Oryctolagus cuniculus: one gene and its partners. The main gene of each other region encodes a partner of the protein of the gene in region 3 in a complex. Links are inferred from orthologs where the notes say so. Each region holds a gene or a part of one and is shown on either strand. Other genes may lie near its edges.

Region 1 (3,700 bases), on a different chromosome or scaffold from region 3:
CAGGTGCTGAACCAGTTTCAGCTATTGAGAGAAGCTCAGGGGCTAGCCACCGGGGATTCCAAGTTCGCCGTACAGGTTTGCGGGCTTCAGTTAAAAGTGAAAAAGTCCCGATGGAATACAGGACGTCATTTCCAACAAATAGGCAAAATGTTTCCTGCTCTGAATTTTCCCACTTCAAAACTATCAGACGTGGCAGCATTCACTAAAATTAAAAGGACAATAGTGACAGAAAATTGTGTGGGCTTGTGTGTAGAATACATACCGAGGTGTGATTCCTCCCCTCACAGCTGTTTGCCTGTCCTTGTATTTTAACATGACTTTTATAATTCCGTTCTCCCTTAATTCCCCAACGTTAAAAAAGAGAAGGGAGTCATAGGCACCATTCGTCCGTAAGGAGTCAGGCTGGACTATTAGAGGATGGAAGGAGGTGACTTTTAAACAGCTAGGACACACTCCGTCTTTTAATCAAGTAAGGATCATTTACAGAGGGACCTGGGGCTGTCCACCTTTCCTCTCCGGCGTCGTGTATCCCTTTGCCTTATATCCTACAGCCACGCTGTGGTGCTGATTTTAAGGATTTGACAGAGATAAGAGGCAATGGATAGTTAGAAGGGGGGGGGGGAGAGTTTTTCCTCCTCTCGAGTTTGGCTGGGTGGGGGGCGGAGTTTACTTGTTACAACGCTGGTCTGGCGGATAGGGTGTGTGCAAACGAATTCTGAGTCTCTGTTGGCAGAAAGGGAGTCAGTGAAAGGACGCCGGGATAGAAGGAGAGGAGGGCGGGGACCCAGAGGGAAAAGGCGCCCAGGTTGGGGAGGTTTTCGGAGGGGAGGGCTAGCGTGGGAGGGAGGGAGACCGGCTGTGGAGCGACACACAGGGATAAAGAAAAGGAGGTGAGAGGGAGGAGGGAGGCCGAAAAGGAAGGTAGCGGGGAGAAGGGAGGAGGAGGAGGCTGAAGGGACCCAGAAGAGAAGGGAGGAGAGAGTGAGAGGGAGGCAGAGAGGGACGCAGGAGGGAGGGTCACAGAGCCAGCGCCTGGGACGATGGGGCTCCTCTATTCCAGATACTTCTGGGATTGGAGACTGTTTGCTAGTGGGGAGACTCCGGCTCCGGCAGCCAGTTGGGCAGCGACAAAGTAAAATGGACAGCGAGAGACTGACGCCCAAGCCACCTCTGCGCCGCCCGCAGATTCCGCAGCTGCTCTCGGGCCAACTCCAGTTGCCCCGCTGGAGCCTCTGAGCGCCCTGGACCGCGGGAGCGCACCGAGCGCCTGCAAGCTGCTACTGAGAGATGCCTTCGCCAGAGCAGTAAGAACTTCCCGCCGGAGTCCCTGCCTCCCCTTCCTCGGAAGCTCCCCGGGAGAAGGGGCGGAAGACCCCCGGGGGAGGGGCGAGGGGGATCCTCTCGCGGCTCCGTCTCCCCTCCCCCTCCCCCCGCCGGGCGCGCAGGCAGGCATGGATGTGCTCAGTCCCGGCCGGGGCAACAACACGACGTCGTCCCAGGGTCCCCTCGGGACAGGCGGCAACGCCACTGGCATCTCCGACGTGACCTTCAGCTACCAAGTAATCACCTCCCTGCTGCTGGGCACGCTCATCTTCTGCGCGGTGCTGGGCAATGCGTGCGTGGTGGCTGCCATCGCCCTGGAGCGCTCCCTCCAGAACGTGGCCAACTATCTCATCGGCTCTCTGGCGGTCACCGACCTCATGGTGTCCGTGCTGGTGCTCCCCATGGCCGCGCTGTACCAGGTGCTCAACAAGTGGACTCTGGGCCAGGTCACCTGCGACCTGTTCATCGCCCTCGACGTGCTGTGCTGCACTTCATCCATCCTGCACCTGTGCGCCATCGCACTGGACAGGTACTGGGCCATCACGGACCCCATCGACTACGTGAACAAGAGGACGCCCCGGCGTGCCGCCGCGCTCATCTCGCTCACTTGGCTCATTGGCTTCCTCATCTCCATCCCGCCCATGCTGGGCTGGCGCACCCCGGAAGACCGCTCCGACCCTGACGCGTGCACCATCAGCAAGGACCACGGCTACACCATCTACTCCACTTTCGGCGCTTTCTATATCCCGCTGCTGCTCATGCTGGTCCTCTACGGGCGCATCTTTCGCGCCGCGCGCTTCCGCATCCGCAAAACTGTCAAGAAGGTGGAGAAGAAAGGCGCAGACACCCGTTTTGGAGCTTCGCCGGCCCCACAACCCAGAAAGAGCGTGAACGGAGAGCCAGGGAGCAGAGACTGGAGGCAGGGCGTGGAGAACAAGGGTGTGGGGCTTGCGTGCGCCAACGGCGCGGTGAGACAGGGCGACGATGGCGCCGCCCTGGAGGTGATCGAGGTGCACCGGGTGGGCAACTCCAAGGAGCACCTGCCGCTTCCTAGCGAGGCGGGTGCCGCCGCCGGTGCCCCTGCCTCCTTTGAGCGGAAAAATGAGCGCAATGCCGAAGCCAAGCGCAAAATGGCCCTGGCCCGTGAGAGGAAGACGGTGAAGACACTGGGCATCATCATGGGCACGTTTATCCTCTGCTGGCTGCCCTTCTTCATAGTGGCCCTGGTCCTGCCCTTCTGCGAGAGCAGCTGCCACATGCCCACGCTGTTGGGCGCCATCATCAACTGGCTGGGCTACTCCAACTCTCTGCTCAACCCTGTCATTTATGCCTACTTCAACAAGGACTTTCAAAACGCGTTTAAGAAGATTATCAAGTGCAAGTTCTGCCGCCGATGATGCTGAAGGTGTAGCCGGCGAGTAGGGGTTGTAGGACCCACTCCATGTAGCCTGCTCCCCCAGCCCCTGGAACCATCGCCTAAGATAACTTGCTACTTTTCCTGGAACTTTTCTGCTGCGCCCAAGGCTTCCAGACGTCGCCCCCTCCCAAGCCCCTGCTCCCAGGGAGAGCGCTGTGTGCAGAGAAGCCCCAAGGTCTGTGAGAAGCAACGGTGTCTCAGTCTGCGGCCTCAGCAGCACTTTTGATTCCAGCAATTGCTGCCTTCAAATTCTGTCCCCCGGATCTGCGAGGTGGAAGCTTAAGCCCCAGGTATTCAAGGTAGAAAGTCCAATTAGAAAACTAAACAAGCAGCAACAATAACAACAAAAAACTGCCTACAGCTGCTGGGTCCACTAACAGCTTCCACCTGACGCCGAGCTTCTAGTGCTTGCATTTAAGGATAAGGATTTCGATCCATCTCTCCAGCCCTCTTCCCCTAGAAATATCCACTCTGTGTGTCTCCCTCTCCTCTTCCTCCCCCCGGCCTTCTTATCTGACCTTAAGCGTCTGGTCCCTTGCATGCCCTGATCCTCTGGTCCAGAAATCTGGGAAGGTCTGTTTTCCGCTGTGTCAGCGGTGCCCTGGGGATCTCCGCCGCCCAGTATAGACTGCTGTGCACTGTCCCTGCTTGCTCTGTGTTCTTGGACTGCAAACAAGGGCCCAGCAGGTGTGTCTTAGATTGCACTTGTAAGTACGCGGCCGGGCCAGTGGGGGAGAACGAGGACAGAGTGTGGACCATTTTGTCCGTGTTTACCTGGGTGTCAGCACTCACCAAAGAAACCGACAATCACGCAACGACGAAGGTGGACTTGGGAATTTATAGGTTGCTGGCGAGTCTGCACACGCAGGCGTGGCCTCTTAGCTACTGCGGGAGGCGCCCTCTGGCCGCGGTGTGCGCGCTTGGGGCGCGGCGAGGCCTGGGAACCGCATACTTCCCGGG
Region 2 (4,953 bases), on a different chromosome or scaffold from region 3:
AGATCATTCTTTATATTGCTTCTCCTCCTGTGGTGGGAGAAGGGAGGAGACAGAGCGAGAGAGTGAACAAGAGAGCACACAGCGTAGAAAACAGAGCACAGAACAAAATGCTGAAAGTCAATCCAGAAACCCATACAGAGTAGCAATATCAATAAGTAGAAGTGTGTGAAATTCACCCGTGTGAAAACTAGAGATTGCTGGCTGGATTCTCAAGTAATTTGGTCCTGTGTTCCTTTGAAGCGGTGCCCTGCATCACAGGGCATGGAAGTGACAGGCACTGTCCGTGCATCTACAGTGCCACGACAGCCTCACAGGCCAGACCAGAACAAAACTTGTCACGTCACTGAGCACAGCACACTGAGACAAAGAACAAGCAGCCAACCACTCAGACCCACCAGTCTGTCTAAGAGCCTGTGTGTATGCCACGAATGCATGAAGCAGCAGCAGGTGTGTGACCCCTGAGACCGCCTGGAGATGGCTGAGGGGACGGGAGGTGGAGAAAAGTGACCTCAGTTCTACTGGTCATCGTTTACTCCTCTAAGCTAGGTGGTGGGCCTGCGGGTATTTGATATGATTCCAACATACCTGTTCCATGCCAGAAACGGTTCATATAAATCTTTCCCTGTGCCACACGACGTGACTTTCCGTGCAGCAGAGCCGTCCAACACCTGGCACCAGGCAAGGCAGGGACCCAAAACAGCCCTGACAGGCAGCCCCACTTCCGGAGTTTTTTCAGGTGTCCTTCGGGGCGGGGCAGGTGAGGGCACTGCAATGAGCAGGCCTATCCAGTTTGTCCCCTGGAAAACGTGCGTCAGCAGTGCCAGACCCTTTGCAGGTCCGGCGTGGGACCACAGCGTTGGGGGAGCTGCAGCAGCCTTCCCAGTGCCAGGGAGAACGGCGCGGCAGAGCTGCAGACAGCTCGGGCACTGCACAGACCCCCGCGGGCCCCAGGGCTCCCCGGATCTAAGCCCTAAATCTGCCTCCCGCAGTGCGGCGCCCCCTCCCCTTTGCGCTGTCCCTGCTCTCGGGCCGCGCGTGGTGCCCGCTGTGGCGGCGGAGTCATCATCAGGAGAATGCACTGTGGTGTGTTTGAAAGATGCACACACACGACGCAAACATCACAGAAAGTCAATTTCCGCTCTTCAGCTGGGAACCTCCGGGATGACAAACCCACGTTCGCCAGCGCAACTGTGCCTGGCTCCATCCCTGCCGTGTGTCCAGCTTGCAGCAGGCAGGGACAGGACGTGCGCACGGTTCGGTCAGCGCCCAGAGGAGGAACGCAAGGCCTGGAGTTGGAACGCTAAACCTTCCTCCCAATGCTTTCTTCTCCCTGCTGTTGGCGGGGGAGGTTGGGGGCGCTTGGGGTTTGTATCGGCGGGCAGGAAGTGCCAGCTGCCCGCTGCCCGGGAGACACTGAGCGATGAGGCAGCCTGCGCGCCCCAGCGCCTCCCCGTCCAGCGCGCCCTGGAGCGCGCTCCGCGGCCCTCGCCAGGAGCCGGGGCCGCATCCTGCAGCCGCTACCATCCTCAGACCCCAGCAGACCCGCACCCAGTGCAGGCGCGCGCGCGCGGGTTGTAGCAAGGAGGTGGGCGGCGACCCTTCCTGTTAGGATTCGCCGTCTCCGCTCGCACGCCGACTTCCGGGGGTACGCAGGGGGCCCCCAGGGGGCGCAGATTAAAGCCGGGTTAAGTCTTCGCCGCTCCCACCCGGCCCTGCCCACCACTAGGGAGCTCAGAAAGCGCTCTCGCCCTGTGCGCTACTTGGAATCCCAGCAAGACCTGCGAGGGAGTCGGAGGCGCACGCAGCTGGGGAGGTGGCGCCGAGCGCACGGGAAGCGCCGCGAACCCTCTCCGCGAGCCCCACCCTTGGTGCGCTGCGCTCCCGGCCCTGCCCCGGGTGCGCTTTGGGGAGGAGCGGCTCTGGGCAACAGGTGCAGCCGGAGCCGGTCGGCAGCACGGGTCTGGAGCCGCTAAGGCGCCGAGAGGACTTTCACCTGCAGGGCTGCAGCCGGCGGGTCCCGGGGTCGGCGGCCGCGCGGCGGTCGTAGACGCGGGGCCAGGAAGACGCCTGTGCTCCCCGCCGGACAAGAGCCAGCTCCGCGCCCCCGCGCCGGCTGTCCAACGCCCGGCACGAAGACTGCGCTGCCAGGCGCGGCTGCCCCGCCGCGGCGCCCGCTCTCCTGCGCATCGGCGGAGGCTCCGGTGGAAACTCGCGCGCTGGCACTCGGGGCGGGACCCCCGGCGCCGGCTGCCCGTGGCAGACAGCCTGCCCCGCCACCCCGCGTCCCGGGCGCCCCCGCGGGCCATGGAGCTGGCTGCAGGGAACCTCAGCGAGGGTAACGCGAGCTGGCCCGAGCCGCCCGCCGCCGAGCCCCGGCCGCTGCTGGGCGTCGGCGTGGAGAACTTGGTCACGCTGGTGGTGTTCGGCCTCATCTTCGCGCTGGGCGTGCTGGGCAACAGCCTGGTGATCACGGTGCTGGCGCGCAGCGCGCCGGGCAAGGCGCGCAGCACCACCAACCTGTTCATCCTCAACCTGAGTATCGCCGACCTGGCCTACCTGCTCTTCTGCATCCCCTTCCAGGCCACCGTGTACGCGCTGCCCACCTGGGTGCTGGGCGCCTTCATCTGCAAGTTCATCCACTTCTTCTTCACCGTCTCCATGCTGGTCAGCATCTTCACGCTGGCCGCGATGTCGGTGGACCGCTACGTGGCCATCGTGCACTCCCGGCGCTCCTCTTCCCTGAGGGTGTCCCGCAACGCGCTGCTGGGCGTGGGCCTCATCTGGGCGCTGTCCATCGCCATGGCCTCGCCCGTGGCGTACCACCAGCGCCTCTTCCACCGCGGCGCCGCCAACCTGACCTTCTGCTGGGAGCACTGGCCCGACCCGCGCCACAAGAAGGCGTACGTGGTGTGCACCTTCGTCTTCGGCTACCTGCTGCCGCTGCTGCTCATCTGCTTCTGCTACGCCAAGGTGGGGCGCGCGGGACCGAGGGCGCGGGGCCGGGGGTGCCCCGGGAGTCGCGTTGTGTCCGCAGCCCCCGCCCGCGGGCCCGCGCGGCCTGGCGGTGTCCGGCGGACGCCGCTCTGCCTTTGCCTCTGCGGGCGCCCTAGCGTTGGAGGCGGCGCAAGGGTTCGCGGAGTTTGCGGTGCTGGGGAAGTTCGCGGGTCGCCAGTTGACTCCGGGAGGGACGTTCCCCGTTCTCGAGCCCTAGGCCCCCGCGGCCCTGGGAGTCCGAGCGCAGCCCGCGCGGCCGGCGAGAGAGCCGCTCTGGTGGCGCAACTGGGATGCGGGAGCAGCCGGTGCCACTGAGCGCGGCGCTGCTGGGCGCGGGGTCCATCGGAGCGCGTCGGGCCCGCCGCCCCCTCCCTGTGCTGGTTGCGCTGGGTAGAGAGGGGGCGCCCGCCGGGAGCTCCCTCCAGGACCGGCTCTGGGAAGCCGCTGCTCCTGGGAGAACGGAGCTTTGCGGTAGTCAGCCCCGGTGGGAAGACGGCATTTCCTGTGGTCCCCGGGGCCGCGTAGAACCCCTGCCTTCCGCGTTTCCACAGCTGAATCCCCGACCCTGGGGGGAGGCTCCCGGGAACACAGCGCCCTCGGCCGCGCCTTAGCCCGCGCCCCAGCTGCTGGAAGGCAGTTCTCCTTTCCCTCCGCTTACTCAGAGGACCTGAGGACTTCTGCATTGACCTGTGACACGACCGGTCCATGTCTGCGTCAAGAGGCATGTGTGTTGAGTGAGGATGGTGTTTGTGGGGTGCACGCCAGTGTGCACACACAGCCCCCCTATACCCTCAGCGCTAGACAGACAGCTCCCCAAATTCTGAAATTTCTGCCCACGCTCCGCCCTGTCGGTCTGGCCCCCTGTTTCTGGGAAGGCTGAGGCGACAGGACCCTGAACAGCACAGGGGGCGGAAGGAAGACGCTGGCTTAGAATCGGTTCCCAGGGCATTCTCCCCCCCCCCCCCCCCAAAAAAAAAAAAACCCTCTCGCCATAAGCCTGCTGGTGTTGTTCCTCCTCTCTGTGCCATCCAGGTGGGCTACGTCTCCTGCGAGTGGCAGTGTTTTTTGATGTCACCCGAAGGTTCTGTGAACAGATGTGCTGGGGAGGTAGGGGATTCAGAAATGGCCCCTAGCCTGGCCGTTGGGAGAAGGCTGACTCATTCATGAGTCTGGGAATGCAACCCAGAGGCTGGTCCCCCAGCGCAGCTGTCCCTGTGTGCCGTCTCACTCGCCTCGCACACCCCGTGGGTGCCGGCTGCTGTCCCCTCCGCAGTGACGAGAGGAGTGGAGGCCCCGGGGGCCAAGCTGGAGATGGTTCCGGAAGGCTTTTCAGCAGGGGTGCCCAGGGGCATGGAGGAGGGGCAGACAGTGGGGGCCTTGTGGGCATGGAGCTTGAGACCAGGGGGACACTTAAAATGCTGCCTTCCGGGTTCCTAGCTTCCTGCCTTAGACCCAAAGCGAGCGCTTCCCTCACTCCCCCAGAGGCCTGGGGGAACTTGCTCAAATCCTGCTGGTGGAAGTGACAGGGTCAATCTTCAGGGCTAAACTGGCCATCTTGCTGTTGTTTGAGAGCTTGTAAAACTCGGAGGGCAGAGTTTAAAAAACGTTTTTAAATACTCAGTCATTTGCAGATTTTCTCTGGAAATTGCTTGCTTCTAAGTGGAAAAGCCTTCTGAATTTGAAGTAGTATTTGCAAGCCCCTTCCAGGGCAGTGTGAACAGGTGGAGGTGTGTGGCCTGCAGTGCTCCCTTGGGTCAGCCGGTGGTGCTTAGCACCTGCGGATCTCGTTCTTGAGGGGCAGGTTCGGGCCTGGCTGAAAGGGGTTGCTTCCAGAGGTGCTCTGTGCTCCCCAGACCCTGCTGGTTTCCAGTGGAACAGCTCCGGCACCTGTCAGTCATGGGAGCGTCCAGAACACGTGACTAGAGGACAAATGCCGGCGACCAGCGCAGTACCCCCTGG
Region 3 (4,380 bases):
CCCCAGGGTGAAGCTCATTGAAATTTCAAAAGTGAACGTCTCAGGGTAGGCATTTTGTGCAGTAGTTAAGTCACCACTTGCGATACCTACAACCCGTAACAAGAGTGCCAGGTTTGAGCTCTGAGTACACCACTACCAGCCCAGCTTCTTGGTAATGTGTACTCTGGTGAAGATCCAAGTATTTGGGTCACTGCTACCCACTTGGGAGACCCAGATGGACATCCAGGCTCCTGGCTTCAGCCTGGCCGAATCCTGGCTATTGGAGGCATGTGGGAAGTGAACCAGTAGACAGAAGATCTCTCTGTCTCTCTGCTTTTCAAATAAAATGAACTTAATTAACTAATTAGAAAAAGAAAGAGAACACATAGATTTCCACCACTCAGGTCAAGAAACGCAATGTTTCTGGGACTCCAGAAGCTCTGCCATGCCAACTCTCAGTCTTGAATCAACCCCACCTGCCCTCCTCTGCATGCAGATCATCCAGCAGACACTCTTTTTACACTCATTTTGTTGTTGTTGTTGTTAAGCTATGTGTGCGAGTGGTCCCTGTCCTTGTGTGCAGCAGTGGTGCTTCCACCCTCATTTTGCGGTCCTGCATCGCAGCCCATTGTCTGAACATGCTGAGCTTTGTGCTGTTCACATGCTTTATATGCCCTTGGGTGAACCCAGCAACATGGGTCTGTCCACTCTACACCTAGATACAGAACTGCTGGATGCGAGCATGTGTGTGAATATCTGTAGATACTTCCCAGCAGTCTCCAGAGTGTTTGTACTCAGAGCAAGTCTAGTCAGTAACCGGTTGCAAGGCGGGAGGTATCATTCACTTTTTTGTAACCTCATAGCCCAAGCCACATTATAGACCCTTGTTCAGGTTTTGAATAAAGAAAAATGAGGGAGCAATGCTATTACTTCTATGTGGGAAAGATGAAAAAACACCTATCAGCGTTCAGCCAACATTATTGATCCACCTCTGGGTTAGACTGAAGTAACATGCACCATCAAGCAAGCAAGTGGTTTAGTGTGCAGATGAAGAGAGTGGGCAGGAGAGAAAGGACATCCAACAATTGGGGGTTAGGGCAGGAGCAAAGACCATGGTAATCATGGAAGGCCAAATGAAGGGGCTTTTTGTTTTCTTTTTTTAATTTTAGGGGTGACTTCCAGTCATTAAAAAGTCATCTGCAGGTGTTGTTTTCCAGTGAGACTTCATTTGTCCTGTTGTACAAGGGGAAAATGCAGTTAATGAGTCCACATATTTTGTATGAATAAAGCTGACTTCAATATTTTAAGGTCTATTTTGCTTTATTTTAACTTCCCGTGTTCTATTTGTTCTATTTGTTTCCTTTTTCAGGATCAAACACGTACGAAGAGGCAGCCGCATATATTCAGTGTCAGTTTGAAGACCTCAATAAAAGAAAGGACACAAAGGAAATATACACCCACTTCACATGTGCCACAGATACTAAGAATGTGCAGTTTGTTTTTGATGCTGTAACAGATGTCATCATAAAAAATAATCTAAAAGATTGTGGTCTCTTCTAAGTTTTGCAGTGAATGGTAAATTGCATTTTCAAACCAAATGAGTGCTTATACGGATCTCTAGACTAGAGTCTTACAGCAGCAGAGAATGTAGGGTATGGCAGATGCATCCGGTACCTCACCAAAGTTACTCTGTTTTTTTTGTTTTGTTTTGTTTTTGTTTTGTTTCGTTTTGTTTTTAACTGAAAGTAACAGAAGGACCTTTCTTAAGTGTGTAAGATGGTCCTGCAGTGGGAAGCTGAAGGGCAGTGTTAAAGCTGGGCTCTAGAATATCGGTGACTTCTATGTCTAAGTGTAAATATGCAAATGTATGTACACATGTATTTATAACTTTAATTTTCCACATAACTATTAGGTTTTAAGAGTGGTAACTTGCAATTCTAGTGTGATGGCTTTGAAAATACCATAAATATCAAGTACCTTGTACTGAATGACAGACTATTACTGTGTTTGCCAGTTTTGAAGAGCTTTATTTATGTTCCTGTCTTACAGATTTTTAAGTGCAGCAATTAATATTAGGAAACATTGCAGCCCTTACCCTGATTATATGTATACTTGTATTCATAAAAATGTTATTTGTACAAACATTGCACAGACTATTTTAATAACATAATTTGTTCTTTAAATTTACTGTGTTTTATTGAAATGTTCTTAAAGAGGATGAATATACCTGCTTTTGGATCACTTATTTAAACACTGTATGGATTGTCTTTTTTTTTTTTCTTAATTTGAAGAGTGCATGCTGCTTTGATTCTACATTAGATCTGGTTCAAATAACTAAAATTTTAAGTTTTTGAGGATATACAATCTTAAGCATATTCTAAACACCTAGTTTTTATTCATTAGTTTGCTTTCACTTTGAATTTTAATATTTGGATGGTGTTCAATGCATTGCCTTAAAGGTGATGCCTGATTAATTTTTATACTCTTGAAATAACTACACTTTTATTTATAACTAAGTTTAGGTGGAGATGTTGAGAGCATTTTTGTGGGTTAAAAAAAAGTCAGCAAAATGAATTTTGAAGCATTCATTTGTGTATTTCCTTTGGGAAATCCCTTGTACCTAGCATTCATGATAGTTCCTCCTTAGAGGTTAACAAGAAAGATCTTTATCCTACTGCTTCAAATTCACTTACGAAACAGGTTTCAAATTCAGTTATCACACTACATTAAAGCTACGTTTTGCTTTTTGGATACTCAAATTTCCTCCATTTGCTTGAGTTCATATTATTTCTTTTTAAATTATGCTCTTATTTCTGAAGAAGAAATGGACAATGGCACTTAGAAAATGAGTAATCGTATTTAAACGTCAGTGATTATGTGTATGCTCAAATTAAGTGTTGCTTATCAGCTAGATCGTGAACTTGATGGGATCCTTTTCTAGGGTTCCTGTTAGTGTGTCTCTGTGACCTTGTTTCAGTGAAATGAAAAGCCTTCCTCATCCCACCTCCCTCTTTTTTATTCATCTTGGGAAAAACTAGTCTTTCAACAAGCTTCGTTGGTAAGTGGCTTCTCGGTTTGATTATGTGTTGTTGTTTTGTTGAAGTTCAGTTTTGTGTTGTCATTTTCCTGAAGAATAGTTGTTGAAGTGTGTGTGTATGTGTATGTCTGGGTAGCCACAAACCATGTTTGTATCTCTTTTCATTTTAGGGATTCTGTTTTTCTTCTTTGTAATGTAAAGAATTTCAGAGTTATTGAAATTTCTTACATGTGTTAGTTTAGATTCTTTATGTGCCTTTCATGAAAAATGTTTTCATTACTTTTATTGATGGGAGACCTGTAATGTCCGCATTGTGAAGCTGTGTACCTAAAATTTAACTAAAACCTGAATAAATTTGAATAATAAGAAATATGGTTTAAAAAGCCACCAAGAAGCACATATTGTTGACCATCATTGATGAATTCCTAAACTTTATTCTGTGTAATTGTGTTACTAATAAATCCTAATAAATTTAAATTTTTAAAATTTTACAAACTGTTGACTAAGCGCATTTTGCATTAGAATTAAGTATTTGTCTATCGTATCATCATTTCGTCTTTCTCTGTGTTTGTGGTTTGTTTGTTTTTGGGTTTTTTTTTTTTTTTCAGCTTCATCTACTCCAGAAGCTTGAGTTTCCCCCCAAGTTTTATCATTAGGTGGATGCCCTGTTTGGAATTGCCTGCTTCATATCCCCTTCAGAAAATTCATCATATGTTCCGACTCCTCATGCCCAAAACCAAATCCATCCTCATCCCCCCGGAAGCCTGTTCTCGTCTCTGACTCTGCGCTTTTAGCTACTAAGGACCAACCATCCCCATTTGGTACTCAGTGGAGAATACTTCAGCCAGACAGAACCCTTCCTATTCCTCTTCTCTGTCTCTGTTGGTACTCAGGCTTTTCCCGTACCTCACATCTGTGTTTTGGTTTTGTTTCACCTTCCATTCTATCCCCACTACTACCTACTGAATTGGGGTCTTTGCTGAACTTCCATCTGAAATGCTTGAGTCATTGAATCCCCACCTCCCGTTGCTCCTGCCTCTCATCTAGGTTGACTGTCTTAATATAGATCTGTGGTTGTGTTGCCTTCCTTTCTTTGACCTTCACTGAAGCTGTCAATACAATTAAATATAACTCAGCCTCCCTCCCATTCAAGGCTCTTTGTCACCTGAGCCCACTGCTCCTGCACTCCTTTCTGAATCTGCATACATATAGTCTGTTGTGTACACAACTTGGCCTTTCCTTCAAGCATGAGCTACATACTACATGTAATATGCTTACAGTAGAGTCTGGAGCCAGGGAAATGGTCATTTATAGCTGATATTTTTATCTATTGTTGGTTTTATTGGTAATAACCTTTTAAAAAG

The links.
Region 1: the proteins of GNAI1 (region 3) and HTR1A are in contact, whole or in part, in a cryo-EM structure (PDB 8PKM), measured with the Homo sapiens proteins. The link is inferred for Oryctolagus cuniculus from reciprocal best matches to the Homo sapiens genes GNAI1 and HTR1A. Residues at the interface, in NP_002060.4 of Homo sapiens: Arg32, Lys192, Asp193, Leu194, Lys314, Asp315, Glu318, Phe336, Thr340, Asp341, Ile343, Ile344, Lys345, Asn347, Leu348, Asp350, Cys351, Gly352, Leu353, Phe354; in NP_000515.2 of Homo sapiens: Arg134, Ala137, Ile138, Pro141, Ile142, Tyr144, Val145, Asn146, Ile218, Ala222, Arg225, Ile226, Lys228, Thr229, Met335, Arg339, Lys342, Thr343, Thr346, Leu347, Asn404.
Region 2: the proteins of GNAI1 (region 3) and GALR1 are in contact, whole or in part, in a cryo-EM structure (PDB 7WQ3), measured with the Homo sapiens proteins. The link is inferred for Oryctolagus cuniculus from reciprocal best matches to the Homo sapiens genes GNAI1 and GALR1. Residues at the interface, in NP_002060.4 of Homo sapiens: Lys192, Leu194, Lys314, Asp315, Thr316, Lys317, Glu318, Tyr320, Phe336, Thr340, Asp341, Ile343, Ile344, Lys345, Asn347, Leu348, Lys349, Asp350, Cys351, Gly352, Leu353, Phe354; in NP_001471.2 of Homo sapiens: Thr70, Arg133, Ala136, Ile137, Ser140, Arg141, Ser143, Val223, Leu227, Lys230, Leu231, Asn233, Ser235, Lys236, Lys237, Ser238, Ser241, Lys244, Thr245, Thr248, Leu306, Ser307, Glu308, Asn309.

What each region holds. Positions count from the first base shown.
Region 1 is NC_091445.1:84,850,518-84,854,217, reverse strand, and holds HTR1A (5-hydroxytryptamine receptor 1A), read left to right. Parts: upstream 1-1,451; coding exon 1,452-2,720; downstream 2,721-3,700. UniProt on the Homo sapiens protein: G-protein coupled receptor for 5-hydroxytryptamine (serotonin). Also functions as a receptor for various drugs and psychoactive substances.
Region 2 is NC_091441.1:2,136,769-2,141,721, reverse strand, and holds the start of GALR1 (galanin receptor type 1), read left to right. Parts: upstream 1-1,673; 5' UTR 1,674-2,304; coding exon 2,305-2,970; intron 2,971-4,953. UniProt on the Homo sapiens protein: Receptor for the hormone galanin. The activity of this receptor is mediated by G proteins that inhibit adenylate cyclase activity.
Region 3 is NC_091434.1:144,919,847-144,924,226, forward strand, and holds the end of GNAI1 (guanine nucleotide-binding protein G(i) subunit alpha-1), read left to right. Parts: intron 1-1,348; coding exon 1,349-1,539; 3' UTR 1,540-3,511; downstream 3,512-4,380. UniProt on the Homo sapiens protein: Guanine nucleotide-binding proteins (G proteins) function as transducers downstream of G protein-coupled receptors (GPCRs) in numerous signaling cascades.